Linked DNA regions of Rhinolophus ferrumequinum. The protein of the gene in region 2 purifies or fractionates together with the protein of the main gene of each other region. This does not show direct contact. Links are inferred from orthologs where the notes say so. Each region holds a gene or a part of one and is shown on either strand. Other genes may lie near its edges.

Region 1 (7,823 bases), about 6.5 Mb from region 2:
ACACCCTCTCCATAACACAACATACACCAACACATTTCCTGATCAAACTTGCATCTCTTCTCAAAGTCCCTATTTCTGTAAAGAGCACCATTACCGTTTCATTTTCCTAGTTCTTCAGGTTCCAAAGTTTAAGGGTTAATTTTGACTCTTTCCTTTTTACCTCATGTCCAACCAATCACCACTGGAATTCTTCCTTCAGATGGTCTTTTCTATTATCTCTTTCTATCCATTCCCACTGTAATTACTATGGTCTGACACCTTCTGCTTAGATTATTGCAATAACCTCCTTATTGGTCCCCTTATCACATGTCTCTTTCCCTATTCCACTTACCTGTCAGATTAATTTTATGAATATGCTGTTCCCTTCCCTTTTTCCTTTTTTTTCCTAAAATTATAAAGGCTTCACACTGTCTATTGACTCAAGCCCAAACCCCTTCAGACTGGAGTTCAAAATGCTTTAACTAGCTCCACTCTCCCCATAAAACACATTACTCATAATTCCTTTGTATGCCCAAGTCAATTTCTTTGCTAATATTATTTTCCCTATTTAAAGTACAATGGTATCAGATGATTATTTTTAATTCACTTTTCTTTCTCCTTTTTATTTTCATTTTCCTTTGTGGGAATATCTTTATGAACTCATGGGTTTATGTTGTTAAAAGTTTTATTATAAAAATTGCATAAATACAAAAATGCATAAAACACAACTTTACAGCATAACAAATAATTATTAAGTGAACATTCAGCTTTTATATCCCTTTGCCTCCCTTCTCCCTATCAAAATCAACTTGGGAAATTATCTGAATTTTAATGTAATTTAAAAAAATATGTCCTCTCGGAGATTTTTAAATAAATATAAGATTTACTTCTATTATGGAATTGAAGGAACCATATTAAGGATTTGGGATCTTCATCTTAAAACTAACAGGCAGCCATTAATCTGATTTATGCAGTAGAGTGACATAATCTATTACATTATATTATATATACAAGATCACTCTGGCTGTTGTGTGGAGACTGGACTGGGCAGGGGTAGAAGTGAATGTAGAGGAAATATAAGGGGACACTGAGTTTGTCCAGACAAGAGATGATGTACTTACTAGAGTAGAGGCAGTAGAAATGGAGAGAAAAGAATAAGATTTGAGACACATTTAGGAGGTAGACTTGACAGGACATAGTGACTGAGTCTATGGTGGTCAGAAAGGAAGGGGAGATGTCAAGAATAATTCTCATTTCGGATGTAAGAAACCAGGTGTATGCTGCTCCATTTACTGAGCAAAAGAACCTTGTAGGAGGTGCATGTTTGCACCTACTGAAGACAACTCGTTCAATTTGGGATACCTGTGAGAAATCCAGCCAGAGATTGAAAGTTTATGATATAATCTGGATCTAAGAAGAGATGTCAACAAGTCATTAGCATACAGAAAGGATCTGCAGCCTTCGGAATGAGTGCACTTACTATCCACTAGGAGTGGATGAAATCGCATAGAATCAAATGAGGAAAAGGTCTAGGACTGATCCTTGAGGAACTTCAACATGTGAGGATTAGGAGAGGAGAAAGAAACAGCAGAGACTGAGAAAAAAACAAAAAATGTAGAAAAGAAACCTAGAAAATGTAGAGTTTTTGAGGCCAAGGGAAGAAAGTGTCTCAAGAAATAGGTAATAGGGGGGTGGGAGGGAGGTAGACAAAGGTAAAGGGGATCAAATATATGGGGGTGAAAGGGGATTTGACTTTGGGTGGAAAACACAATGCAATATACAGATGATGTATTATACAAATGTACATTTGAAACATAATTATATTAACCAATGTACTCCAATAAATTCAGTAAAATTAAAAAAAAAATTTCCAAAGTGAAAAAAAGAGAGATAATAGTCAATTGTGACAAAGCTTTCACAGGTCAAAAAGAACTAAAAAGTATCCAGTGGATTTAGCAACAAACATGGAAGCCATTTGGTTTTAAAAATGGTAGGAGCAGAATCCAGACTGGAATGGATTTAGGGATAAATAGGAGGTGAAGAAGTAGGAAAAAAGTGTTAGACACCTCTCTTGTTTCCCACATAAGTTATGATCCTCCCTCATACACACACAAACACATGCATTCTCAAACCTATATACATGTACTTGTTTTATTTCTTTAATTAGATTGGAAGAGTGTGGTGGAAAGGAGACCATGTTACTACCTCTGAATTCTCATAGCATATAGAATGGTCCAGGGCTTACTGTGGACACTTAGTACATGCTTATTGTATTAAAAAAATGTAAAATACTTTATTAAATACTTTTAAATTACTAATCATGATAATAATGAAAATAATGAAATTAAACAGAGAAGCTGTTTAATTCAACAAACATGTATATAACCTCTACTGTATGCTAGGCACTTTGCCAGGGGCGAGGAGTCACATTTTCATGGAGAAGAGGCGTAGACACACAAATAAATAATTTAAATTTCACAATATTATGAAGGAAAAAATGTTTTATGCTAATCTTACTGTGTACGAGAATGAATCCATTAGTAGAATATTTATTCATGTACACTAATATAAGTTAAAGAAATTGGCAGTAAAAATGAGAAATGAACTAGTAAAAACATTTTTTTTTTGGCCTCCCATAATTTGCATACTATTAAATCAGATGAAGAACAAAAAGATTAGTTATTTTCCCTGCTCTCCCATTTATATATTTAAGATTATCAGTGCTCAAATAGTCTATTTCTGACCTAGATCTTATTGTTACTTATGCCCAAGGGGAGAAAAAAAATCCTCATTTACATAAGGAACAGAATGGCTCTGAGATAGAATTACAAAGAAGAATCAACTACATGAACCCTTCTCTCTTTGATTTAATTCTCAGTGTAAATGGCATAAGGAACTGAGGCTATTGGAGAAATGACATATTTCTTTTATACTGTAAAGAAAATAAAATTCAAGACTACCCTTCATTTCCAAAATGAGATTTGTACACTTTATCAAGGTCCAGCAGTGTCTGATTTATTTTATTATTAAAATTTTGAAAGAAGTATTTTCAATGAGCTACTTATTTAATCCTTACACTCCCCCATGGCATTTCATTCTTATTTTTGTTAAATGGACTTCTGGATTCAGAAAGAAGTATTCAAGTTATCCTTAATTTTCCTGTCTTTTTACTGAAATATACTTTTGTTTGCTAAAGAAAGATAAGATGATGTTGAAGATTATTTTTCCTATGAAATATGCAAGAAGTGAATCATTTGTGTATTGTTTTTTTTCCCCCGAGGGAAGACTCTACTGCAGGAAATTTGAACAAGTAAAGCAGAGCTGTGGATAGCCGGCTAGAAAAATCCACGGCCACCATTGTCACACCACAACCTGCAGCAGCTGTCTCAAGTCCATCCCTCCCACGCCCGGCTCTGCCTGTCAACCCAGCAGGAATGAATGCGCTCTGCGGAGCACTTCAAAAGGTGCTGCAGACCCTGAAAATCTGTCACTGAAAACCGAAGGGAAAATACAAATTTTCAACTTTGTGGCCATAACAAACCTTTTAATCTTTTAAAATTCATTAGCAACGTCAGGTGGTACCCAGTTCAGAGTCTTACTCTGCATAGCCCTTCCTTGTTGAAAATGGAGCCTTTCAAAGTAGCAAAAGAATGTTACTGCAATCCATTTCCTAGGGGGTGAAAGCAAAGCCTTTTTGTCCCAAGAGGCAATTGAGCAACCACCAGTCTCTAGTTGAATAGCCAGCGTGTGAGGCTGGCTGCAATTCCCACAGTTAGAAGCCTAATCTCGGAGGAGGAGATTTACCAAATTCAGATAAGAACTACATAAAAAAGAAATGCAGTTATTGAGCTGACATCACAGACTGGTCTGTGCGTGGAGGCAACATTCCAAAATAGTCTTCTTTTTACATTGTGCAGCTCTCCTCCTTTTTAATTTGGTGTCTCAGTTATTTTTTTCATTCCAGGAAAGAGAACAATGCAGAATATAACCGCATGCACAGGTAGTATTAGCTTCTGAACTCAATTCTTTCTCTTTATATTTTCTCAGTTCTATATCAGGAAAAAAATGATTCATTTTAAGGGAAAATACACTACACAAATTACTATTACATAGACTTCTGGTAAAGGAATATTTCTAGTAAAATTATTTACAGTATGTTAATTAGAGCGTAATTATTGCCACGTTAGAACTACTTGAGTGCTTCCATATTTAGTATGGTTATTCTTTCCATCTTCTGTTTTTGTTTGGCTATTTGGGAAGGGGTACAAAAGAAGATCTGAAAATAAAACTTGAACCTGAGAAACCATTTTGGATGACTCTACTATTAAACTTTTTAAAAACTAAAACAAACACATTTACCCAAGCCATTTGAAGCATCATTCCCGTCTTCTCTCCTACTTTATGTTTAAAGCAATTATCGATGTTGACTCCTCACGGAATGTGGTAGAGTTTAGCATACACTTTGAGGGAGAGACTGGAGCAATTTTCCATTAAATATTTCATCTGAACATAAATTCTGCGACTAAGAGTTGGGAAAAACCTTACATTGGTGATTTTAGTTGTAGTTTGATGATAAAATCATCCCAGCCTCTGTTCTCTTTCTTCCCTTTTGCACCCCCTCCTCAGCCCCACCCCATAATGGATGCTCCGCTGACTGTTTTCGCTCAGTCTCTTTGTCTGAAGGATGCAAACAGTCTATGGATGCTAGGGAAAAAGGGGTGGGGGAGAGATTACCTCATCCCATGTCGCTTGCACCAATCACCACTCTTCTGTCGTGGCTTCTCTGGGCAGATTGAGGGGTCTGGACCAACAGGAAAAGGCCCCAGCCCATCCCCATGGTGACCGAGTTGTATATAGGGAGCCGCATCCACCCATGTGCCGCAGGTTCTCTTACATCGACCGCCTAAGAGTCGCGCTGTAAGAAGCAACAACCTTTTCCTCCCAGCCATCCACCCGGCAGCCGCAAAGCAGCAACCATGGTAAGAAAGAATATGTTCTCTCTGGTTCTTTGTGGCCATTGGGTGGGGTCAGCCCCCCACGGTTTGCTTGGAAAATCTTAAGCTCTTTTCCTTTACAACTTCTTTAGGTCAGGGTAGGTCGCCTTACGCTTTGTTGGAGAGGTTAAGCTTTGTGTGCCCCAAATCCTTGAGCCTGGCCGCTGCCGCAGTGCAGGGTGCAAGCAAGAGCCCGGCAAAAATTGCGCCGAGGGCGCGGCAGAACCCTGGGGAAGAACAAAGGCGGCGTGGAGGCGGTTGTTATCCCGCGCCTTCAGAGGCGCAAGCAGCCCGTCTGTCGGTGACGAGAGGGTCGGGAGCAGGGAAAGGGGATCGCGGCGTCTCCTGCACACAGTGTGCGTGTGAATCGGAGGCTCTTTTCTTCCTCGCGCTGTTCCCCTGGGGCAGGGAGAGGAGGCGTCGCCCCAGAAGACCCGGGGTCTGTGGGTTTAGCTGGGAGGAGTGGGGAGAGGACGACGGCTGAGACAAAGCGGAGCCTTGGGTTAGTTTAAAAAAAAAGTTCCCTTGCCGGTTCGTTGGCATTTTAGAAAGATACCCGCGTATTAACGGGAAAAAAGTGGTTGGTTTCTGTTGGAGCCAGCGGCAGCCGGCGTCAGGGCGGCGCAGGGGCGGAGTTGTTTGTCTCTGGCTTCTCCGGCCTTGGAGCCATTGGGCGGGGTTCGCTCTCGCTAACTCTCTTCTGTCAGGAGGAGACTATTCAAGTCTTTCATCGTTGTAGAACTGTAGGCCTTACAAGGCTTTTCATTCACTGCTAAAACTTAGATGGAATGTTTTTTCTTGAGAAGCAAAATCACAATTCACTTGACAAGTCCTTTAAGGTCAGGACCGGGGCTACGCAGACCTGGCGGACTTGATTGGGTGTTTGTCTGTCTTGGCCACATGTTCAGTGAGAAAGACACTTTGTGAACCAGGGGACCCTAACGCGCAGGACCCAGGGAAACGCCCCGCCCCCCCACATATCAGTGAATAGACAATGGATAGACAATGCAAGTTGTAGCCATAAAGACCATAGAGTAGAAAATATCTATTGAATGTGATGAGTATGAACATTCTGTGGTGGGTAGAGAATCGAACGAATGAAAATACGTACTATTTTGTTTTAAATAAATATTTCATTATCCTTTCACTGGACTTTCTTGTTTATTTGGTAGCGTCTCATGTGATAGTTTGTTTTCAATTTAGGAACTGATGTTTTAAAGATACTCATAATTTTTCACTTTTCTACAGTGGAGAAAATTCTGGAGAAATTTTTAAAAAGTAATGAAATTAATGCAGACAAAGAAGAATTATACTCTGTGTCCAGCTGTCTTTTGTTCGAGCGAATTTCAGTAATTCATTTCAATTTAGGCGTATGGTTCCAGCCTGGCTCAGAGGAGGGAAACTGGCAGAATGGCACAATGAGATCATGTGGGTAGTTTCTGGAAATAGAGCTTGCTCTGTTAAATAATGTAGCAGACAGCACAGGCTAGCACCAGGCACAGCAAATACAGCAATGCAGCAGTGCAAGGAGTCAGCCCTTGCTTAGCTTCCAACCCCCTAGTACAGATGGGTTCTGCAGATAGACTGCAAAAGGGTGTGGCTTCTAGCCTCAGCTGCAATACAGATGTCCATATGGAAATACCCAGTCATATTTAGAAGAAATTCTCATCTGTATTTAAAGGGGAAGGAGGTAGTAATATTGATTCCAATTAATAATTGAATTAAACTTCATTCTACAGAATCTGTGTTTTGAATATTTTTAAATATGAAAAATCTTCTATTCAAGCATGGCCATGGGAACAATAGACTTGCACTCTGCGCTGTACCGTGCCACATTTTTCAGGCCACGCCCACCTGCAGCTTTTGTAGCAGGTGCTTTTCCTTATTGTGTTAGGGATATGACCTCAAATAAATTTGAAGAATACCTGTATATAACTAGAAACATTGATAGAAATCTACTGAAAATTCAAAATGATAACAACCTAATTTTACAATTTTTCTCTTTTCTTTCCCACAGCGTGAGTGCATCTCCATCCACGTTGGCCAGGCTGGTGTCCAGATCGGCAATGCCTGCTGGGAGCTCTACTGCCTGGAACATGGCATCCAGCCCGATGGCCAGATGCCAAGTGACAAGACCATTGGAGGAGGAGATGACTCCTTCAACACCTTCTTCAGTGAGACAGGCGCTGGCAAGCACGTGCCCAGGGCAGTGTTTGTAGACCTGGAACCCACGGTCATTGGTGAGTTGACCTCCGTAACCCAAGTGAGATCCCAGGGGTCTGGGACAGGATGTGTGTCCTGGGGGCTCTGTGGATGCCCTGGGGTTGGGCAGCTTGTGCGGGTTGTTAGTGATGGGTGGCCGCTTTGTTTCCCTTTTCCAGATGAAGTTCGCACTGGCACCTACCGCCAGCTCTTCCACCCCGAGCAGCTCATCACAGGCAAGGAAGATGCTGCCAATAACTACGCGCGGGGGCACTACACCATTGGCAAGGAGATCATTGACCTCGTCTTGGACCGGATTCGGAAGCTGGTGAGTACCAGTTTGAAATATACTTAAAATGGGGTGAGGTGATTCATTGCAAGTTTAGTGAAGAGACCAAACTATAGCATTCCTTCTTTGGTGCATGCCCAAATGTGAGATACACTGCTCACTGTATTAATTGAAAAGTATCCGATGTTGAAGAATTACATTTTCTTTTTACTTCCTTCACAGGCCGACCAGTGCACAGGTCTTCAGGGCTTCCTGGTTTTCCACAGCTTTGGTGGGGGAACTGGTTCTGGGTTCACCTCCCTGCTGATGGAACGTCTCTCTGTCGATTATGGCAAGAAATCCAAGCTGGAGTTCTCCAT
Region 2 (6,867 bases):
TAAATTGGTAGTTTCACTTTATTATATTATAATTAGTCTGTAAACTCAAGGATCTAATTAATGCACAATGGGATAGAGTGTAGGGATTAAAGAAAAATTTAGTCACCTTCATTTATTTCACTCCCTTCAAAGGTTGAACTGTGTGGGTAAAAAGAAGTAATGTAAAATTGAAGAGCACAGAGAAATGGTCAGATGACTGGAAGGAAAAAAACAAAGTATTAGGACAGCTAGCCTAACTACCAACCTCTAAAGATTGTCATTTATTAAGGAGCATGAATAAAATATGAAAAGACCTTGAAAATAAAAATTCAGAGTCTGGACTATCATGTTAAGTGAATTCTGGAAACAAACCTTAATATTTACTTTCGATTACGAGTCTTTCATTTAACACTTTCAGCTAATTCAACATGTAAAGAACAAAAGGATATCTATATTAATTACACCAGTAATATGAAGAAATTTGAAGGAAAAAAAACACTTTCTTTTAAGTGAAGTATTAAAATATCAGTGAGAGACCCATCTGTACAGCCCTTTGATAAGACCAATGATAATTAAAATTGATAATGTCACTGTACCTAGCATAACCACAATATTGGTACCAAACCACTGTGTTTTTACTTTCACGAAAAGCATGTGAATTCAGCAGGTAGTGGATTGTAAGATGGAAAGAAATTTTGAACGTATGTGCTGGCTCTATCAGTAGCTCTGTGATTCTAAATGAGCTACTTACTCTGAGGAAAAAATATACAGTGAGATTTCTGACAGGTCAGTGAGATTCCAGTGAGAATGAAATGATGTAACATACATAATGCCCTTGGCAAACTAATACACATATGGTGCTGAAACGAATAATTCTATTCCATTAAATGACTAAATCAGAAGACAAGTCCTTAGTTTCTTCCATACTTTGTCTCTGGTAACCCCTGGGCAAGGATATTGAGTGATATTCATAACTACTCCAGACAAACATGCCCAAGCTTGCACAGTTCTGAAAATGAAGAATTAGGTGGTGAGTATGTTCCAAGCTCCTTGGGTTCTGACATCTAGCACTGCCCTCTTTGGATCCTGCAGATCAAAGCCCACTCAGGGTCCAATTGTTCTGAGTGGCACCCAGCAGGGGTGACTCTACCAAGCATAGAATCCAAGGATGCTGTCAGACAAGGACTTTTGAACACCCGAGGCAAGTAAGCAGGGACGATGTGGATGGAAAGCACAGTGGACCAGTGCTAAAAAGTGACTCATATTTCATGGGCAAAATTCAGACTTTGGGTGCTAAAAAGGACAGTGTCTTTATCATGCTTCCATCTTTTCGGTTTTGTATGCTAACAACCGGAAAATCAAGTCAGATGGGAAATACTTCAGTTGAAAAAAATAAAAGTAACCATTTATCCCAGATATAAATATCCTCATATAAAACAGGCTAAGTATATGGTTCACCCAGATTAGACACAGCTGATACAGAGATAATCATAAAGGTAAAGGTAGATAGACACAGATTTAGAGATCCAAATAACTCTTACATCTGTCTAGTAGGTATTAAAACATTGGCTTTCTGACTGCACCTCAGTGGAGTTCAAAGTTCAATTATCTTTCCCTTCAGGACCTTACAGACAAATGACAAAACTGATTTCAGTTCTCTAAATCTCAAAACCTACAAAAGAAGTTAACACGTTAGGCAGTAATGCTGTTTTGACTGTAAATCATCCTTAATTATCTTGTTAGGCCTCCTTTTTCGATATATCGAATGTATTTAGCAAATTTATGGGTTTCCTGTGGTGAAGACTCTAAGTTTCACTTCTAGATTCACATGATATGAAAAAGGTTGAAAATATCGACTTATAGGGGAATCATAAATCACTTTCTTTAGCTAATACAAGATATACTACAACTAAAGAAGGCTAGAATCTATCTTCAAATTAAAAAAAAAAACCTAACCCTATGAAAGTTTGTAAGTTACTTCATTTTATTCATTGATTATTAATTTTATTACTGTTAATTATTCCCCTTTCGCAAACTATTCACAATGGTGTCATCTCTAGGGCATGCTGTACATTCGGAAGATTCTTAGAACAATTTGAGTTAAACACTGATGAACTTAAGTAGCCAATAACAGAACTCAACTTCACTCCATTATTATTCCCCTTACCACCATCCATATTCAGTCAATTGTATAAAGTTACTTCTTAAAGACAATTAGGGAGCACACAGTGGACCCTTTTACACCAGTTATCTTTTGACAATGATTTGACAACGCTTCCATCTTAAAATCACAGTCATTGATATGTCAAGCCAAATCTCAGAACTAACCCAGAGCTCTGGGCATATAACATTGACATAAAAGTATTTCCAAAGAAAAGGGGAAATGGGAGAAATGAAAACAACTCCTTTACCTGCTGCACACTAGCCACCCTCATATACGAGTCCAAGACGAACAGCAGAGGCACGTGGATATTTTTGCCTTGAAATAACTTGGAGGCTGGAAAAGAAGGGGGTGGGGGAAAAGAAGCCAAGTCACGGTTCACAGCACCCGTTAAGTATGAAAAAGGGGGAGAGAGCAAAAGAAGTGAGCGCAATACCTTCCGAGAATTCTCAGCTCCTTTTTGCCCTAAGGAGTAGAGTTTGTGGCTTCCCAAGGGTCCACGTTTGCGCAAAGTGTAGGGGAGACAGTTTGCAAAAGAGGCGGGGGGAGGGAGTGTAATAAAGGAACAGTTTCCTCGCAAATGATTACCGTGGTCAGCGTAGGTGAACAGCAGCATGTCCTCCAGAATTTGGACCAGTGTCTCTATCTGTTTTCCTTCCTGGACATTGTTCAGCCTGACTATCAACTTCTTCAAAGTTTCTTCGTCCTCCTCCTCGCACCCCTGACAGCTGCCACTGGCCATGATGGACCCTGCTCCCAACAGGCCGCCCCTCCCGCACCAAGGCCGTCTGCTCAGGGAAGGGGCAGCGGCGCGGGTCACTGCTCCCGAGGAGAGCACGGCTCACAGCCGGCAGCCCGTGCTACCCGCCCGCCCCATCCGCACCCACGCCCGCCTGTTTATGAGGAAGGCGGCGGCTCCCCACCCGGCGCTGTCCTGCCAGCCCTGAGCCCTCCTCCTCTGCTTCCTCTTGCCCAACCCAGGCCCAAAAAATGAGCTCAGGGGCCTGAGAGAGGCTCGCCAGGGCAAGGCGCTGTGCAGAACCTTAGCGGGCAGCAGGGACGCAGCTTGAGCGGGGCCTGGCCGAGGTGACCGTGACCGTGATCCCCGGGCGGGCCCCGACAGACCGGATCCCACCCGCCGGGGCGGTCCGGCCGGGAATCGTGCAAGAAGAAACCGACTCAGGGGACTCGGCGGACTCCCCAGGCCCGGAGCCCAGCAGCGGCTGGAGGAGGAGTGCAATCTGCAACCTAGCCGGTCACCCGCTGCGAGCCGCCGGCCTGAGCGCCCTCAGTCCCGCAGAAGGTCTGGAAACTAGGAAGAGGAAAAATGAAAGCCGCCTCCTATCTCCAGATCTAAGAATAGAAATCTGGGCGTTGGGAAAAGAGGACACCGCCCAGTTGGCCCCTTTTTGGAAAACATTCTCTTTATAGAGTTCCCCCTATGGGGAGATGAGTAATTTCCCCTCAAGGATGGAAAGAGATTTTTGTAATCAAAGTACGGCTATCTAAATACTTTTCTATGATTGTTGTGGCCGTTTGTAAAGGAGGAAATAATTTTTTTTCTTTATTAATTATCTGAAGCTCTGTTGGCCAAAAGGCCACCAAATAAACTTTTGAAAATTTGAGTTTGCACTCAGTAGGATCCTGATAATTGGGGCACAAGAGAAACACAGGGTAAATTGAAAGGAAAAGGTGAAACCAGAAAAGGTGAAAGACAGCAATCAAGGCATTGTTCTCTTGGCATTCAAAATTACTTATGATTATGAGCATCTATAAACCTAACGTTAAAAAAACAAAAAACAGTACCAAAGTAATGTGTTTTTCACAAAGAGAAATCTACCAGGAAACACTGGAGACAAGGCTAAACAAAGACCATCTACTGCCTTTAGATGATTTGTGCTGGGCGTCATTGACAAAGGAGAGGACTGAACTGAAAGTTTTAATATTTCACAATTTTGAATGGTTTGTTTTCAATTCTGTTACCTCATCCTGAGGACAATTCTGAAATGGATAAGACAGCCACTTATCCTTCTTTTACTAACAGGGAAATTGAGATTTAGAGCTGATAAGAGAAGAGCGTTGTTGGACTCACCGATAGGAAGTTGAGGGCCATCACTTAAACCCAGGTAGGTCTCCTAAAGCCCAGTTATAGGATCTTTGCACTTTACCATTTTAATCAAGATGAGCTAGGCTTCCTTAATACACTAGATTAGTAAAATTGCAGATTCAAATTCAACCTGAATGTTGTGAATGTGCTTTGTTGTCATAAAGACTTTTTGTCTTTTATAGACAAATGCTGAAATATTTGCAGTTGGAATGACAGAATGGTTAGGATTTGCTTCAAAGGAATCCAGTGGTGGGGAACAGTGTGAAATGGGAGGACGTAGAGATGAGACAATACCAACTTTCGAATTGATGATTGTCAAAGACACGCAATGACTTCATGTGGTCTATAGTACTATTTCTTCTGTGTAAGATTTCCCATAATGAAAACAAAACAAAAAACTCTCAACTTTGTCATCTTTATCATACCTGCAGTATGTCCTTTCCTAACTGGTTTCTGAACATGTTTCAACTTCGGACTAAACCAATCAGTATCTCAAGCATTCCTAAGGATTCTCCATTTCATGCTTTCCTTCCCATTCCCCTGCATCAGTTTCTCCTTCCCAGTCTACTGGATTATTATCTTGCAAAATATCAAAACCTAGCTTCCTTCCCAAGAAAACTAAATAAAAAGGTGTGTCTTCTTTTCCTCAATTCCTTCCTCCATCTATTGCCTAGTTATTGCCTACTCTATGTTAGCCAGAATAGCGGTCGGCGATGTGGGAACATGAATTCCCTGCTGGGAGTATTCTCCCACAGGACTGCAGAGGTAGGGCAAAGTACCCTTTTAGCTTTCACAAATGCTTAATTGATTAACTAAAATCCAAGACTTATTAACTCTTCAGATAATTAACATGACTGAAAAGGAAGGCTAACAAGCACAAATTCATGATAGAGGTAGTGTTCAGTGGAGAATAAAATGGTGTCGGAACATTTGGCCAACTTCCTGAGAAGAAAAAAGTAAAATGGACATTGATAATTACAGCAGACACCAAAACAAATTCCAGATGGATTAAAAAGTTAAATGAAAATAACTTTTAAAAGAACATATATAGATTAATAGTTTGGTATGAGGAAACAGAATGCCCTGTGCACTTTGCTATAGCGGAAAAAAAAAGAAGGAAAGGGAAAAACCATAGCTTTCAAATGTAGAACTAACCATGAGAGAGTGACTGCGCTTCTCCAGTGTGTGTTACTTCTTCATACTTCTCACTCAAGTGCATTATGTAAACATCCTGGGTGAACGTAAAGCCGTTTTCCTCAGCATTCAGCAATGATTATGTAGAGCAGGAAGGATTTCTTGCCACAGTTAGGTGGGTACACAGGAAATAAAAGGAGACAAAATTTAGTGAGCACCTCAGAATCCTACTTTATGCAAGACATTTTACATGTATAATTTGTTTAACCTCAACAACCCTAAGAGGCAGCTATTATTCCTATTTTTCAAGAAATAGTGTTAGAGAAGTTATAAATTACCTAAGAGTCGGAGCTGAGATTCAAACACATAACTGTATCACTCAGACAATTCTCATCAGGAAGGACTGGGCCATGTAAAGGCATCACTTTGTGGAGACAGAAAGAGAAAGCACCCAACGATGTGGCAAGTCTGAGGCCCAGATCAATTGCAGTGGTTACTAGAATTTGCTTTGGTTAAGAGCATAATGAAACTTCAGATAAGAGTCTCTTTAACTCATGACTTAAAAACAACAACATGAGAAGTCTTGTTCTAAAAACTGAGAACTACACATGGATTCCTACACAGTTAATTTGCACATCATAAAATGCAATCCACATTTTGTTGGCCACACCAGACTGGGGATCCATGGAGACTCACAGCCAACACAGCAGTTCTCAGGAGCTGTCAGCTCCTGCTCTGGGCCAACGTCAGGCCCTCATGTTCTTCCAAACATGCCTGAAGTTCCCAGGATGTATATCACATGTGCTTCCTCTCTCCCTACCCCCCAAAGTATTCTTTGGCTACCGAGTAGAAACTAGCTTTATTTTTTTTCTGCTCTGCATTGATTAGATTATCAGCCCCATGATACTCCATAAGTTTTTCTCACTACTTTATCCTTAGAGTTTCGACAACTTGTGAATTCATGCAGATAGTCAATAAATATTTGTGAATGGGGGATTGCCCATGTTTCTGCCACAGCAAAAGCAAGGTGACTACTGCTGACTAAATGACTGAAGGCATTGCTGCCTAAACCAGAGAGACCACCTCCAGTCCCTCCCAAGCAGCAGGCCGGTCCTTTTATTGTGGCCAAATTCTGCTGACACCAAAGTTGTTGATGCCCTCTGTATGCAATAACTGCCCCCAAAATGATGGTACTGAGATAGTGATTTTAGCTTTTATTAACCTGTTTTCTGCAGTCTTCTTGTTTTATGCCTCAGGTTAAAGGACAATCTACATGACATATACTGTGCTGTTCTCAGAAACACTTCACCTCTGAATTTTGTCCTACGATCTTTAAAATAAACCTGCCTCCATAGTTCCTTTTTCCTCTTAGAATACCCATTCTTAAGCTTTTTAAAAAGATCTTTATTAAAATATAGCTAACACACAATATTATATTAGTTTCAGATGTACACCATAGTTATTCAACAGTTACATACCTAAAGAA
Region 3 (7,171 bases), on a different chromosome or scaffold from region 2:
CCAGGTGCCCCCAAGTCTGACCTCCGGAGGAGTGGAGAGGGCAATGGGCAGCCTCAAATGTTCCCTCAGCCCAGGGCCTCGTGAGTCTGGAAAGGGTGTTCTAAGGACCCCCAGATCACTGCTATAAGTTGATCTTTACTGAGACAGCCACATAGCCTGTTAGGGCAGTGGAAAAAACCATAGCCTATCTCACCCTCGGTGCAGTGCTGGGAACAGAACAGGTGCTCAATTTATATTTATCAAACATATCTTAGGTCTGGGCCCAGGCTGCCCCTCCAAGGACTGTTCCAGACCCAAGGGAACTGTTGTGACGGGGGATGGGGCTCTATCTAATTGCTCACAGGGCTCCATTCAAGGGCTGTACAATCTAGGTCCAGAACCGTGGGTATTTGGCCTGCCAGACACCTCTGCCTGGTGGTCCAGTAGAAGTAAACAGAGCACCTTGCCCCCTAACCTACTCTCCTTGTTCAACATCCTGTATGTAGAGGGAAGGGAGACACCTCCAGCTAGTCTTTACCACCTGGTATCAAAAGGCCCTCCTCCCTCCACTCCTCACATCAAGGAGTCATTACCTGCTAAAACCTCCCCTGTGCTCCTCCATCACTGTTCTGCTCCTGGACCAGGCAGCAACCTCTAAATTGGCCTCCCTGCCTTCCTCCTTTTAATCCATTTTCCCACAGCAGCCTGTGGTATTTACAAATACAATCCGATCAATTAACATCTCATGTTAATAGATGTGAAGGTTTATAGGGCACCAGTCCATGTGCCAAGCCTGTATTTCATACCCAATGCTTCTTGCCAGGCCCCGGCATAGGGACTCCAGCGCCCCCCTCTGTCCTCAGTTTACCGCACTGCTCCTATGTTCCTGTGTGACCACAGGGGTGCCCCTTTCCAGTCCTTCTCTCCCTATGTCTGTCTCACCACTACACACAGCCAGGATGAGCTGCTCCAGCCCCTGCCACTAGCCACACGTGGCTATACTTCTTGCTTCTGCACCTGCAGCTTCCTTCCCCTTGTGCACACTTCCCCTCCGCAAATGACTGACTCTTAGTCATCCTTGAAGACTCAGCTCAGGTATCACCTCCTCCAGAACCCCTTCCTGACTACCCTCAACACTCTGGCCCCTCTTTATCGCATTACGCTCTAATCGCTGGTTTCCTGGTCAAGTCTCTTCCAGAAGACTGCTTCTGCCTGGGACATACACCCAGCTTGACACAGTGGGGGCTCAATAACCCCTCGTGGACGCCTGCGTTCATGAATGAATCACTGAGCCAGCAGGGAGAGCAGGAGGCCAGAGCATGCCGGCAGATGAATAAGGCCGTGGGCCAGCCATTCATTCTCTCATTCATCTCAAAGCCCCCCATCCGCTACAGTCATACGCGCCCAGGCGTGCGGGGGTCCGGGGGCGGGGAACGGGAAGGGGCGGGGCTCGGGAGGCTTCTCCGGAACCCAGAGGCAGAGTCCGAGCCCGGCCAAAGGGCGCGCTGGGTGCCTGGGTCCCGGAACCCCAGCCTCTCCTTGCAGTCCTCACGTTACCCGCAAGTAATCCAAGTCTCCACCAGGCCGAGCCCTGGCGTCATCGGGTCCTGGGACCCGGCACCGCCCGGGCCAAGCCGACCCTCAGCCCCAGCGATCCCCAGGCCCACGACCCCCGCCTCCCGCACGGTAGCTCTGGGCCTGGCTCGGCGCCCAGCCGCCTGCCCTTTCCCCCATCCTGCGCGCCAACAGAGGCCTCCCGGGGCCACGCGTCTGCTGCCCGCCCCGCGCCCGCGACCAGCGTACCCACCGGCTCGGCTCTTTGGGTGCGCGGGCGGGGGCCAGGCTGGGCGGCGTGGCCGGCTCTGGAGTCCGCGGCCCGGGCACGCTCTCCCCGCCCAGGGCCCGCCCGGGGCCGGGCCGCTGCCTGTCGTCATCCCAGGCTGGGCCCAGACCCGGGCGCGCGCGCGCACCCTCCCGCCCCGCCCCACCCCGCGCCGGCGGGTCCTGGCCCTGGTCCTGGCCCTGGTCCTGGCCCTGGCCCCCGTCTGCGTCCGCGGAGACTTGGTACTACACTCGGCAACCAGCTCCCGGGAAAAGGCGCGTCACAGTCTCTGTCTCTCTGTCACACACACACCGGCTTCCAGGGAAGACCCAGCCCACTCGCTGCAGCGCTGGGTGGGTGGGTGAGTGCGTCTGATAAGGTTCCTTCTCATCCTAGGACCCCTTAGCATCCCAGAGCAAACCCGACCCTACCCTGCGTGCTGGGCCAGCTCGGTTCCACGTTTGTGACTACCTCTCGCACTTCATCTCCGTCCAGTCCACACCACTGCTTTGAGCTGGCCAGTCCCAGTTCTTTGGGAATGGGGAGGCATTAACCAAGCCTGTATTACGCCACTGGAGAGCTTTACCTGTACAGGTCCTTTGACCTCAGAGCAGCCCAGTCACCTAGATGTTGTTATGCCCAGTTCATAGCCCAGCCTATTGAGGATCAGGGAGCAGAAGAAGGGGTTCAAACCCAGATTCCCCACTTTGAAAAACCCTGCTTCTAGTGGTGCTTAATAGTGGCGCTTAAAACCTTACCCCTCCCTCCCATTTACCCGTTTTGTCCAGTCTGTTCCTGTCCCACGGAGGAGCTGAAGCCCTCCCCACTGCTCACCTCTTTCCCAAGGGGTTTGCGTGAGAGAGGGCTGCTGGGCCCTGGGCACACACTGCCACCCTTCCTCCCAGTCCAGAACATCCCAGCTTACAAGCTTGCAGGGCCTGTGGGGATGAACCACACGGATGATCTCCCCGGTGGGGATCAGCTCCACTTGCAGTGCCATTCCGCCTGTGGATAGCCAGCGTGCTGAGCACCGGGGCCTCTGAGCAGAAGCCTGCCTGCCTGCCCACTGGCTCTGGCTGCTCCTGGAACCAGGAATTTAGTCTCACGCTGGGATGGTCACTTGGTTCAGCTTCAATTCTAGCCCCAGGGGATGTGTCTGGTCCAGCTCCTCAGGACACAGCTGGAGCAACCCAGGTCTGATTGGGAGGCCTCTTGGCCCAGCCGGTTGAGGCAGGAAGAGGAGGGGCTGAGGGATGGAGGAAATGCCTGTTGTCCCAGGTAACCAGAGCAGCTGATGCAGCCACCAGTGGGGGACCCTGGGCTCCAGGTCAAAGGATAGGAGGCCTCTCCCTCTGCCTACGGACTGGTGTCAGCTGGAGAGCAGGGTGATCACTCCCCAAACCAGAATGCATATCCTGCCCTAAACCAAGAGGATCCATCGGTAGGCCCTGCCCCTCCTGCAAGCCCCTCTGAGTTTGTCTGCCTTCCACAGCAGCAGGTGAGCCCCTTGAGTTTGAAAGGTCAGGGCTGCTGGGGGCAGGCCTTGTTGGGCAGAGGGGGTTCACTGGAAAGGCAAGGGCGCTGTGAGGAGCCCCGTCCCACCCTCCTCTGGAGCCTCAAACTCTTGGCGTGGGAGGTTAGTCCCTGGGTTCCTTGGCTGTGGGCAGCCTTAGCCCTGTTCAAGCCTTACTTTTCCATTAGCACCCTCAGGTGCCCCCACCCTGAATGTTCCTATTTTTCTATCTTTATTATAGTTGCTAAATCACAGCTGACACTTTCTTGGCCTGGGGCTGAGCCCTTGGGTCTCCAGCCATTCCTTATAGGAAGTGAGAAGGGGGAAGTGGATGGGAGAAAGGAACCCTCCGAAGGGAAATGCTGGCATAGGAGGGGTGGAGTCCAGTGGCCTGCGCTGGCCTTGACAACCCCTTCCGCAGGCACCTTCCCCCAAGCACCCTTCTCTTCCCTACTCACAGCTTCCCCCGCCCCGGAAAAACCAGCAAAGCTTCCTTCCTTCCTCCGGGAAGCACATCTATCCAGGGCAGGCTCATCCCCGGCAGCCACACAATGGCCCTTATCAGCCCTGGAGCCAGGCACAGAGACCCAGCACACACCAAGTCTCTCACATTTCCTGTTTCCACCCAGCGGGTCAGGGCTGGGCCCAGAGCGGCCATATCCTGACTGGAGCCAAGATGAGGGAAAGCACTCCCCCTTCCCCTTCCCGCCTCTCAATCACTGCTGGACTCACCCCTGCCAGGCTGGGAGGGGCTCTGCAACGGAGGCAGGAGTAGGAATGAGTGAAGACTGAAGAGGGAAGGAGAGAGGTGGGCGTGTAGACAAGCACACTCCACACGCAGGAGAAATGGGACCCTGGAGACAGGAGCCCTGAGACCCAGCCCCAGGTAGGTATAATAGTGTTGCTCTGGTTTTTTTTTTAACAATTGTTCTCTCACAATAATCCTGTGAATAGGTACATTATTTGTATTTTACAGACAACTGAGACTCCTGTGTTGGTAGAGATGGAGATTCCAAACCAGGTCTTGACTCAATTCCTGTGTTTCTGGTCCTGCATGACACCACTGCTGCCTGTGTAACTTCAAAAGGATCACACCATTTCTGAGCTGTGGTTTCCCTGTCTGCCAAATGAAGGGTGCTATGTGGCAGCACCCATGATGGTTATGTATGTGAGAAGGAATGAAGTGGCCAAGTGCAAGGGATGAGGGTTCCTCAGGTGGGTGTGTGTTGGGAGCAGGGATAGAGGTTACCGTGGGAACTCTGGGGTAGAGGGGGTGGGGGGCAGAGGAAAATGATGGCATTTTTGGATAGCTTAACCCAGGACCTATGCTCAAGACTCAGGCGTGAGGGGGTGGCAGCTGAGGCGGGATGGGCCAGTGAGAGCAGAGTAAGCACCTTTTCCGAGAGCTGTAGTTCTAAGCAACCCATTCTATTTAGCAGCAGAGTAAATTAAGTGCCTAGTTAAATAGGTACCGTGTTTCCCCGAAAATAAGACCTAGCCCGACCATCAGCTCTGATGCGTTTTTTGGAGCAAAAATTAATATAAGACCCGGTATTATGTTGTATTGTATTATGTTATTATATTATAAAGATCCGGTCTTATAGTAAAAGACCACCAGGTCTTACATTAATTTTTGCTCCAAAAGATGCATTAGAGCTGATGGTCCGGCTAGGTCTGATTTTCGGGGAAACACGGTAGCACGCCTCACGTGGGCCAGGAACCCAGACACTCATCCCATTGCCATCCAGGCGACACCTGCCACTCAGACACAGGAAGTCAATCTGGATCTACAGGGCGCTCGTCCTGGAGTCCAGCAAGGGCCCGTCACCATGTGCCCCCCCCATCAAGAAGGAGTCACACACAGGGTAAAAGCCATGTTTCTAATTATCCCCCCATGTTAATACACAGAACACAGCCATGGACCACCGGAAGCCAGGGGACAGTTCTTGGAACTTAGAACTGGAGTGTTCTTTAGTCTTGGGTTGTAGGATTGGCATGAGTCACAGAGTAGGCTCTCTGAGGTGTCTTCTCCTGGGAAAAGGGCCACCGAGCCACTAGTGGCTGCAGGCAAGTGGTAGGAGCAGGGACAGCCACATCCATAAAGCACCTGGAGAATGCTCTCTAAAGACCCCCAGAACCAGATTCTCCAAAACGTCTTAATTCCAGCTCTCTTGTCTACCTGCCCCCACTTCTAGGTCCCGGAGTCGTCTAGAGGGAGGGCAGGTTTCTGGCTAGTGACTACAGGCAAGGATAGAGCCAGATGAGGTTCACTGAGCAAAGACCACCCTGGAAAAGTCTGTGGCCATAGCTCTTCTACCACCTGCCAACCCTTCACAAAAGGGCAGGTTGGGGGCATGGAGCCTGACCCACCAGCAGAAGTGAACCTGGGTCCAATGCTCTGCTCAGGCCCAGGAATTTCCTAGGTCAGATCCAGGGGGGGCAGGAGGGTGCAGGCAGAAGGACAGTCATAAACCTGCCCACAACCCCTACTGAAAAGCCTGGGTAGAGGGGCCCCTCCATCCTGCCCACTTGGTCCTACTGCTTCTGCTCAAATCAAGGATCCCAGACCCTCTGCCCATTCCTTAGGGAGCTAGGCAATGAGATGCCAAGATTCCTGGAGGCCAGTGCTGTTTGCACCAACCAGTCTATGGAGCCTGTACAAGTGTGAGTGTCTCCGCCTCCCAGGCAGCCTGAGGCCCAGGATGGCGTGATAAGAATGCAGGCCTGTGCCAGATGGGGCATGTGCCTGGCAGGCCTGCTTGGGCAGGGCTGGAAGTGTGTGTGTGGGGAAAACCAAGAAATGAAATGCAGGCTGCAGGGTCCTTGCCACATCCGGTGGACTGTCCCCAGGTCTTCACTGTTGACAAACTAGCTGGTTTCACTTACGTCTCAGCAACAAAACCTGTATTTAAGTGGCCAATTCCAGAGATTTGGACTGGAGAGAGCACAGGAGTGTGGCCACAGCTCCCCCTGGGAGGTGAAGGATACTTGCTGCCTCCTCAAGGGGCTGGGCTGGGCCCCTAGTGCTCCTGACAGTGGTGAGCAGAGCTGGCTGCCAGCTTTGGCCTCCGCCCTGGATTCCCTCTCATCCCAGCTCAGATCTGTGGTTGGGCTTCACCCAGTGGGTCCTTCTCCAAGAAGGCGTGAGGCTGGATCTGCAGGGATAGAACAGGCAGTGAGTGGAAGGGGAAAGAGCACATTTTCCTCCGCTGTTCCATCACTCCCATTCCCCAACCGCTGCGGCTCCAGGTACGGGTTGACTCCTCGGCCCTTGGCCTCGGGGAACGGATGAGGGGTTCTGCGTACCCTTCTCCTTACCCCACCAGCATGCCTTACCTTGAAGGGATTGCTTATCCCCACCACAGAACGTAGATTGTTGCTATAATAACACAGGAGAAACTGGTCCTCAGTCTCAGGGATATCACTAATGTTGATGTACACCTGGAGGGGAGGATGGACAGGAATGGGGTCAGTTCCAAGCCTGGGTCCCACCCAGTTCTCAGCCACAAGTTATCCAGCCTTCTGTGTGCTCCAGAAGACAGAGGGGCGCTCAGGCAAGCCCAGCTGCTGGAGTTGTGGAATACCTAGGTTAGGAAGGGGGGCAGGTACCTGGTTCAGCTTGTCACTGAAGAAGACCTCGTTGTCCTTGACCCAGACATAGCACACGTAGTCATTAATGTGGCGAAACCCCACCTGTGGGAGGGGGGAGCGGGTGGTCAGTGGTCTGGGAGTACCCAGGACCTACGGCACATCCTAAGGAGAGGACAGTCTCATTTCTAGGTCGGGCCATCATGCTGTATGCCCCCTCCCTTTCACTGCCAGCCCCTAGGTGGGCAAGGACCCTGGGATGAGTAAGG
Region 4 (7,769 bases), on a different chromosome or scaffold from region 2:
ACCTGCTCACGCTCACACTCACGTGCACAGGGAGCACAGCCTTTAAAGGGCCAGGCACCTGGAGAGGAGGCAGCGGCAGGGGCAGGGGTTGGCAGGAAGGGGCCAATTTGCCAGCTGGGGCTCCTGGACCCTGGACTGGGCTGCAGCTCCGCCCCCACCTTGGGCAGAGGCAGCTGGGAGGGCCTCTTCAGGAAGCGGTTGGAGTCTCTTCACGGGCTCCTTCCTGGCGCCCCAGGAACCCCTACCTGGGCTCAGCTCACAGCTGCCCAGGGAGACGCTGCCACCTCAGGTGCAGCCCCAACTCCCTTAGCAACTCCACGCTGGAACCCCGGACATCCCCTTCCCTCCGACAGGCACCATTCTCACCCACACTCAGCCCTGCCCTGCCTCCACCGCCCTCTCCACCCCTCCCAGGAATTTCATTCCCAGACAGACACACACACAAGGACCTGTGACCAGGACCTCTGGAAGCCTCAGGGGTGTGTGGGGGCACAGGGGCGGGTCAGCTGACCTTCTGAGGCTCCCTGTAGTTGGTCCTCTCATCTACTCTAGGGCCCTGGGAAGAGTCCCTCTCACTAGGAGCAGGGCTAGGGAGCCAGAGCCAGCCCTGGGGGCCTCCCATGGGAGGCACAGCCATCAAAACTGAGCTGTGGGGGCCTCCCGCCGCCTGGCCCCCGCAGAGGCCAGCTGTCACCGGTTAGCCAGCAGCACCGCCATGCAGGGTCACCCAGCTGGCTCACAAATGCGGTCCCTCTGAGGACTGATGACCTTCACCTCCACTTTCCCAGGCCAGGCCTCACGCCCTCCCCACGCCTGCCCACCCCCACTAGACCCCACCATCCCTGCTGCCTCTGGTCCGCTCACCCGAGGTGCACAGAGCTCGCTCCTCTGAGACCACAGCCTGCCGGCTAAGCTCACAGAGACCTAGCGCTGAGGGAGGTGCGGCCACGGGGATTGGCCGCGGGGATTGGCCTCCGGGCGGGGCGGGGCGGGCCTGGGAGGGGACGACTTTCTCTTTCACTTTAGGTTCCCTTCAGCTGTGGGAGAAGGGATGAGAAGGGGTGTGACAGCTTCTGGGAGGCACGGCTCAGCCTCAGAGCCCCCACAGCCCCCAGGGCAGCGAGTCCAACTCACAGTGATCCAGCCAAGCCAGGCCACCTGCCCCGGCTGCCCCACGGGTTCTGCAGCTTGCAGGCTACCTTTATAGGGCACTGGACCCCTGAGGACGGGCCTTTCTGTGCTCAAGCCCCCATGGGCTCTGCTGGGGAATGGGAGCCATGGGGTGGAGATGGGTTAGGGCTCACACGTGTCTGTGGGACTCGAGTGTCCTTTGGGGGAAGGTACATTTCAGGGAAACCTGGTGATGGGTTTCAGAGGAAGACACTCCTGTCCACTGGAAAGGACAAGGAAGGGGTGGCTGGCTGTCAGGGGCCACTGGCTGCCACCCGCAGGCCTGCTCACCTGGCAGGTCCACAGATCACATGAACCGGCACTCCCTGAGCCCTCTGCCCTGCCAAGCCCCCTCCCCCCCACACACACCCTGTGTCAGGGACCTGCTTCTCTGTGCAGCAGCCTGCACAGTAGTCTGACCTCTGAGCTTCAACCTGACCTCCCTCCCCACCTCTACCACCCCACCCTCCTGGTATAGACTGGCCACCGTCAGCGCTCTCTGCTGCCCAAGACCCTTAGGGGCAGAGGCTACATCCCGACTCTGGTCTCCTGGGTCTTGCCCTGCCCTCTGGGGACTGAACAAACACTGACTCCCCTAGCGTCACCAGACCCCACCTCCTGTCTGGGGTTAGGGACACGTAGATGACAGGGGTCCCGGAAGTCAGACCACCTAAGATAGGAAAGGGAACAGTTGTCCCAGGAAGAGAGGCAGGCCTGAGAAAAGAGTCAGCCCTGGGGCTGGTGTCACAAACTGCAGGCTGGAGGGGGAAGGCCCCACCAGGAACAGTGAGAGTGAGGGGGTCTGCCTGGGGAGGACGGGAGAGATGTCCTCTGGACCCTGAGTACCCCCTTTTCTGTCCTCACTCCGTGGTTTCCACCCCTTGCTTATGAGACAGCTGTAGAGGGCCCTCCCTTGCACCCCATGTTGCCATAGAAACCGGGCAGCCCCAGCCAGGACCGAAGCCCAGGGTTGGCAACCTTCACTGTCCACCCTCTGCTTCCATAGTTAGGTAACCAACCCTTGGGCCATTCAGGCTGTGGACAGAGAGCACCTACTGGACGATGCTTCTGCTTCCAGACCCTCAGGTAAAATCTCCCACAAATGAAGCCGCTTTGCTCATCCACCCCCAAGAAACGCGATGAGGGTGAGGCTCAGAGTCTGGGACCGGCCACTGGCTCCCCATTCCACCTCCCCCCAGTCCCTTTCCCCTGGGGAGGTGCTTTCTGTCCTGCCGGCTTAGAGGGGCCCCAACTCGGTAGACAAAAGAGGCAGGACGGGTGGGGGCCCCCCCGAGCTCCCCTCGGAGGCGGGCTCAGCCCTGTCCCGTTGGATGAGGTCCAGACGTGGTCCCAGAGGGCCACGCTGTCCTCCGCCAGGCGATGGCGACTCAAGCCACGCACGTGTCCACACACGTCCGGCGGGGTCCCACGTGTGCCCCCCTCCGACACATACACACACACACACACACACACACACACACACACACGGCCTGGCATCTGCTCTCTGGGCTTCGACCTCAGGCTCCTACCTCGCGGGGACACGTGCGCAGGGAACGCGTCCGTCACCGCCCGGGGCCGAGCACGGCCTCCCACACCCGGGTGGCAGCGGATCCGCGCATCCGCCGACCGGGGCCCCACCGGAGCCGCCTCGTCCAGGCAGTTGTCACCTCCCCGGGCCGCCTCCGCGCCCCTCTACCCCGCAGCCGGACCGCACTCGGGTGGGCGCAGTGGAAGGGAGCGGCCAGCGGGCACTCACCGCGCTCTGCCACCGCCGCCGCGCTCGCCTCCCCGCCGCGCCGCGCCGCGCACCCCGCTGCATAGGCGCGTCGGCCCGGCGCCGCGCGCGCTCCGCCCCCGGCCCTCGGCAGCACGCGCGCTGCGGCTCCCCCTCCTGGCCACCGCGGCCACTACTCCGGGCCGGGCCGCAGCGCCGGGCCGCAGCCCGGTGCCAGCGCGCACCGTGGCCAAGCCGCGGGTCCCCAAGAGCCTGCATGGCGGGGACCCAGGGATAGTCCCATAGGGCCAGAGGGTGGCGAGGAGCGCTGGGACAATAGTGTCCTACGGGAGAAGCGTGCGCCACACAGTAGAGCTCCGAGGGAACTAGGCTGTAACAGCCAACAGGGCAGATGCATCCTTTACTTTGTGGCACGGCTCCCCTCCCTCCCAGGGAAGGTCAGGACACATGGGAGGGCCAGGGGCAAGGACAGGCCTCTGGTCTCCACCCAAAAAACAAACCAAACTGAGCTCTGAGACAGCAACCAGCACACTGCATGTTTGTTACACACAGGGAAGGCTTGAAAATGGGGGCCTCTGTGCCCCAGCCAGGGCACACCAGGGGCCAGCCCAAGGTTGGCAGGGTCTAGGCCTGGACAGGCTCTGGGGACTTTGATGCTGAAGGGCCAGTCGGGGCAAGGCCCCCAGGGGCCAGGCTTGTGCGCCGGATGCCATCCTGGTACTTATGGCGGCCGAGCTCCAAGACAGCCCGCACCTCTTCGGCCACGTCACGCCGGTCGCTCTGCTCCAGGGCCTGCATGAGGAGCCCCACAGCCCCTGGCTGCCCAGCCTGGCGTTCAGCCCAAGAGAAGAGCATATGTCGGATCTGCCCATCCAGGTCATCCCTGGGGAGAGAGGGGCACGGTGACTGAGGGGCCCAGCCCAGGGCCACCACACCCAGGGTCCTGCTCGCCCACCTGCCCTGGACGGAACTTCAGCCAGCCTCAGGTAGGGCACCCCAGCAGCTGGGCTGGCAGCGGGAGGCTCTAAGGAACCCACCGGAACTCATGCCGGATGCGCTGCAGCTCCTGGTAGGACACGCCCAGGTGCAGGGCCACCGTCGGCCAGTCTGGGCCCAGGCGCCCGGCCACACTCAGCAGGTTGCTCTGGGTCAGGAAGCCGGTGTCAGCATCACCCAGGTTCAGAGGTGCCAGGGAGAGGTTAGCCCTGTGGCCCAGCCCCTCAGAGCGGGGCAGTTTCTGTGGGAAGGATGGCTGCAATGAGTGCTGACCCCCCTCACACACACACACACACACACACACACACACACACACACACCCTGCTCCCCGTCCCCGGGCCCACCGGCAACTTGATGGGCAGAGTGGCCATCCACAGGGCATCCACACCCTTCCTGTGCCGGGCGGCTGGCACCTCCTCAGGCACCTCGCCAGGCACTGCTCCCCGATAAAAGGACACCTGGGACAAGATGAGACAAGGTTCAGGGCTTCAGCCTCTGCCCAAGCAGCCCGGGGCCCCGACCCCGTGTGCCCACCTGGCCCCGCACGGCCTGGGCCTGCCGGTCTAGGGTGGTGGTCACATACACCTCCTTCACGTTCTTCAGGTGTGAGTAGAACACGAAGCACACTCTGCCCTCCACGCAGTCGGGGCGGTCTGGGGGCGGGAGGGGGGCTCAGCAGGGGGCCTGGCGCAGACCGGGTCCCCCCTCCAGGGGTGGGGGCCTACCGGCATCCACGTCGATGCCCCTCTCGAAGGCAGCAAAGAATCTCTCGCCCTCAAACATCTCCACCGTGTCGGAGGGCTCGGGGCCGCGGTACCGTTCCAGCAGGCGTCGCAATGTGGCATCCACCTGGGGGCACCCTCGGGCTAAGAGCCGACACTGGGCACCCCCAGCCCACCCCCCAGCCCACGGCCCGGTCCCACCTTGCTGCGCGGCAGGCACTGCAGTAGGATCTGCTCGGGATCCCGGCGTCTCTGCAGTGCGATGAGGTTGACATGGTGGAGACGCAGCCGCCGCCAGGCCTTGCCCGCCAGGTGCCCCACACAGGCCTTGGTGGTGTACCACAGCCAGTACCTGGGGGCTGGGGATGAGGGGGGGGCTGAACACGCGGGGCTGGGCGGGGAGGGGCTGAGGAGGCTGGAGGGGACACTGACCAGGAGAAGTGTGTGACCTGGAAGCGAGCATACAGGTGGGTGAGCTCGAGTGCCACCTGAGCCGTGATGTCATCCCAGGTGGCTGCAGGAGGGGCACGGTACAGCAGGTGCAGGCGGGAGCGGTCCAGGCTCAGGCCTAGGGATGGAGGGGATGGCTGAGGCCTCCAGAGCAGGGGCTCCCCTTCCGAGCACTGCCCCCACCCCATGGCCACGAGTGTCCTATGCCACATGGCCACCTCTTACCTGTGATGCCAGGGGGCAGAGGCAGCTGCACGGTGATTGGCTGGAGGAAGCTGGAAGGGCCACTCTGGGAGAGGCACAGCAGGGGGCTCACAGCTGCCTCCGGCTCCTGCAACAGGGCCTGCAGCTCCCTGGCCGCCATGCGCACCACCTGGGCAGACAGGCCGCCTGAACTCATGCTTTTGTGCCGGAGAACCACTCGCCACCCTTGGCAGCTGCCCTGCCCTTACTTGCATGCGGACGTGACGAGGCTCCTCTGTGGCTCCAGGGGGAAATGTGACCTTGACCCCAGGATGCCCCGAGGAGAACAGCAATGTCCCCTCTGGTGGCACCAGGCAAGCGTTGGACACAGGGCGTGAAACCACAAGGAACCATGAGAAGTGGGGTACCTGGCAGTGAGCCCAGAGCCGCTGGGCACGGCGGAAGGGTCAGAGGGAACAGGGTCAGAGGGTCCGGACACAGCTCCTGCCCAGGGCTCCTTCCTAGGCCACCCTGCACCTCCCTCACCTTCGGCGCCTCTTCCTCCAGGTGGGTCTCCAGGTCACTCCAGCTGTCGTCACTCAGAGTCCTCACCACCACCTCACGGCAACGCCGGGACCGTGGGGGCACGAAGAGCAGCCACAGGCCTACCTCCTGCCACACAAGGGTGCTGTGAGTGCCAGGGCCATGCCTGGCCCTCCTCACCTGCCCCCAACCTGCCCTGGCCGTGCCTGCTGGAAGGCCACCCCATGGGGCTGCAGTTCCAAGACACCACTGAGCAAGGAGTCATGGGGACCCAGGGGGACGAGGCGCGGCTCCGGCTGCCACTGTCGATAGCGGATGGTGACAGAGGTAGTAGTGGCACCAGCAGGAAACTGCAGGCGGACACCGCAGGCCAGGGTCACAGAGCAGCCTTGGGGGGTCACGGGGAAGCTGAGTGAGGACAGGATGGGCATCAGGTCAGACACACAGGGGCATGTATGTCTGAGCCTGGCACCCCTGGGGACTCAAGGAGAAGACCCCCGAGCACGTGGACAGGGTGGCTAGCTGTTCCTCCAGCCCCACCCCTCCCCCACCCCATACCTGTCCAAATCTGAGGTCAGGAACAGTCTGGGCATTTCTGGGACCATGGGTGTCCCTGTGGAAGGACAGAGAGATTGTTAGGATAGTGACGGTACCTGTGTCCTGTTGGTGATCTGCCCTCCCCAGCGACAAGCCTACCTGGGGGACTGTGGGAGTCTGGCAGGGCCTTGCCCAGAGGGTTCCCCTGCAGGCGCACAAAGGGGGCGTCCAGCAGCTCTGGGGGCACGTCCCGAAGCTGGTTGTCCCTCAGGTCCAGCCGGGTGAGCAGTGGGAGGCGGGCCAGGCCGGCGGGCACAGAGGCCAGAAGGTTGCTATGCAGAACAAGGAGGCGCAAGGAGCGCAGCCCCGCTGTGGGCCGGCGCTGGCTTAGGGCAAGCGGAGGGCCAGTCAGTGCCACCCAGGCCCAGAGCGCCAGGGTGCTAGGGCCTCCCTGGAAGCCCTTGTGGTTGTTGCCCCATGGCCAGACACAGAGTTCGGCTAGCCTGCACAGGGAGCCTCCGAGGCCAGGGCAGTGGGGGTGGGGGGCAAACAAGACCACTGGGAGGAGCAAAGGCTCAAAGGTGGGCCCCGTGGAGGACGAGGGCCCACATGAGAGCAGAGGCTGGACACTGGCTGAGGGACTCCCCAGCAGGCCCTGTGCGCCAAGGAGGGAGATACTGGTACTCACCAAGGGAATCCGGGAGGCTCTGCAGCCGGTTGGAGGCCAGACTGAGCTCAGCGAGGCTGCTCAGGCCTCCGATCTCGGGGGGCACACTGTCCAGGAGGTTCTCCGAGAGATCGAGGCGCTGCAGGGTGGACAGGGCCCCCAGTGCTGTGGGCAGCGCTTGCAGGCGGTTGTGGGTCACGGCAAGGAAGGTGAGGGTGGGAAGGGCCCCCAGGGCCTCAGGCAGCTCTGAGAGGTGGTTGTGAGAGAGTAGCAGGGCACCCAGGCCACGCATCCGCGGGACGCAGGCCGGCAGTGTCTCTAGGCTGTTGAAGCTCAGATCCAGGTGGGCCAAGCGTGCTAGGCCACTCAGTATGGCGGGCAGTGTGGTCAGGGAGCCCCGGAGGCAGGCACCCAAAGCATCCCGGCGTTGCCCACCTGGGAAGGGGAGGCAGATGTGGCCCAGTCCCAGTTCCTAGCTTGGCCCTGTCCCCAGAGAAAGAGCTGCGGAGGGAGGTACAAACCCGCAGTCCCACCCCACCCAGACAGAGACACATAGCTGCAGGGGATGGATCAAGGTGGCATCTGAGACCGCAGGCTCATCCCAGCTACAGCCATCACCCAGGACCCCCAGGAAAAACATGCACACTGGGTCTGCTGGGAGAACGCACTGGGCAGCTGCACATTGGGGGAGGAGGGCTGGATAACAACACATTGGGGGAGCATCACATTGGGGGAGGAGGGCTGGGCAGTGCTGTGTGGGAAACAG

Evidence for each region.
Region 1: the proteins of LRRK2 (region 2) and TUBA1A purify together in Homo sapiens (affinity purification with western blotting; 4 studies listed by BioGRID and IntAct, with this or other methods). This does not show direct contact. The link is inferred for Rhinolophus ferrumequinum from reciprocal best matches to the Homo sapiens genes LRRK2 and TUBA1A.
Region 3: the proteins of LRRK2 (region 2) and MYO1C purify together in Homo sapiens (affinity purification with mass spectrometry; 3 studies listed by BioGRID and IntAct, with this or other methods). This does not show direct contact. The link is inferred for Rhinolophus ferrumequinum from reciprocal best matches to the Homo sapiens genes LRRK2 and MYO1C.
Region 4: the proteins of LRRK2 (region 2) and SLC25A22 purify together in Homo sapiens (co-immunoprecipitation; 3 studies listed by IntAct, with this or other methods). This does not show direct contact. The link is inferred for Rhinolophus ferrumequinum from reciprocal best matches to the Homo sapiens genes LRRK2 and SLC25A22.

Annotation. Positions count from the first base shown.
Region 1 is NC_046293.1:50,213,390-50,221,212, reverse strand, and holds the start of TUBA1A (tubulin alpha-1A chain), read left to right. Parts: upstream 1-4,815; 5' UTR 4,816-4,955; coding exon 4,956-4,958; intron 4,959-6,990; coding exon 6,991-7,213; intron 7,214-7,354; coding exon 7,355-7,503; intron 7,504-7,686; coding exon 7,687-7,823. UniProt on the Homo sapiens protein: Tubulin is the major constituent of microtubules, a cylinder consisting of laterally associated linear protofilaments composed of alpha- and beta-tubulin heterodimers.
Region 2 is NC_046293.1:43,684,499-43,691,365, reverse strand, and holds the start of LRRK2 (leucine-rich repeat serine/threonine-protein kinase 2), read right to left. Parts: upstream 3,016-6,867; 5' UTR 2,883-3,015; coding exon 2,729-2,882; intron 2,477-2,728; coding exon 2,391-2,476; intron 1-2,390. UniProt on the Homo sapiens protein: Serine/threonine-protein kinase which phosphorylates a broad range of proteins involved in multiple processes such as neuronal plasticity, innate immunity, autophagy, and vesicle trafficking.
Region 3 is NC_046304.1:16,397,330-16,404,500, reverse strand, and holds the start of MYO1C (unconventional myosin-Ic), read right to left. Parts: upstream 3,010-7,171; 5' UTR 2,802-3,009; coding exon 2,727-2,801; intron 1,925-2,726; exon of another isoform or gene 1,787-1,924; intron 1-1,786. Other genes in the region: INPP5K (inositol polyphosphate 5-phosphatase K), read right to left, coding at 6,410-6,469, 6,651-6,755, 6,924-7,007.
Region 4 is NC_046294.1:475,800-483,568, forward strand, and holds the start of SLC25A22 (mitochondrial glutamate carrier 1), read right to left. Parts: upstream 3,005-7,769; 5' UTR 2,927-3,004; exon of another isoform or gene 2,700-2,926; intron 1,018-2,699; exon of another isoform or gene 865-1,017; intron 46-864; exon of another isoform or gene 1-45. Other genes in the region: PIDD1 (p53-induced death domain-containing protein 1), read right to left, coding at 3,530-3,788, 3,943-4,142, 4,246-4,359, 4,436-4,554, 4,627-4,750, 4,825-4,975, 5,056-5,191, 5,299-5,446 and 6 more. UniProt on the Homo sapiens protein: Mitochondrial glutamate/H(+) symporter. Responsible for the transport of glutamate from the cytosol into the mitochondrial matrix with the concomitant import of a proton. Plays a role in the control of glucose-stimulated insulin secretion.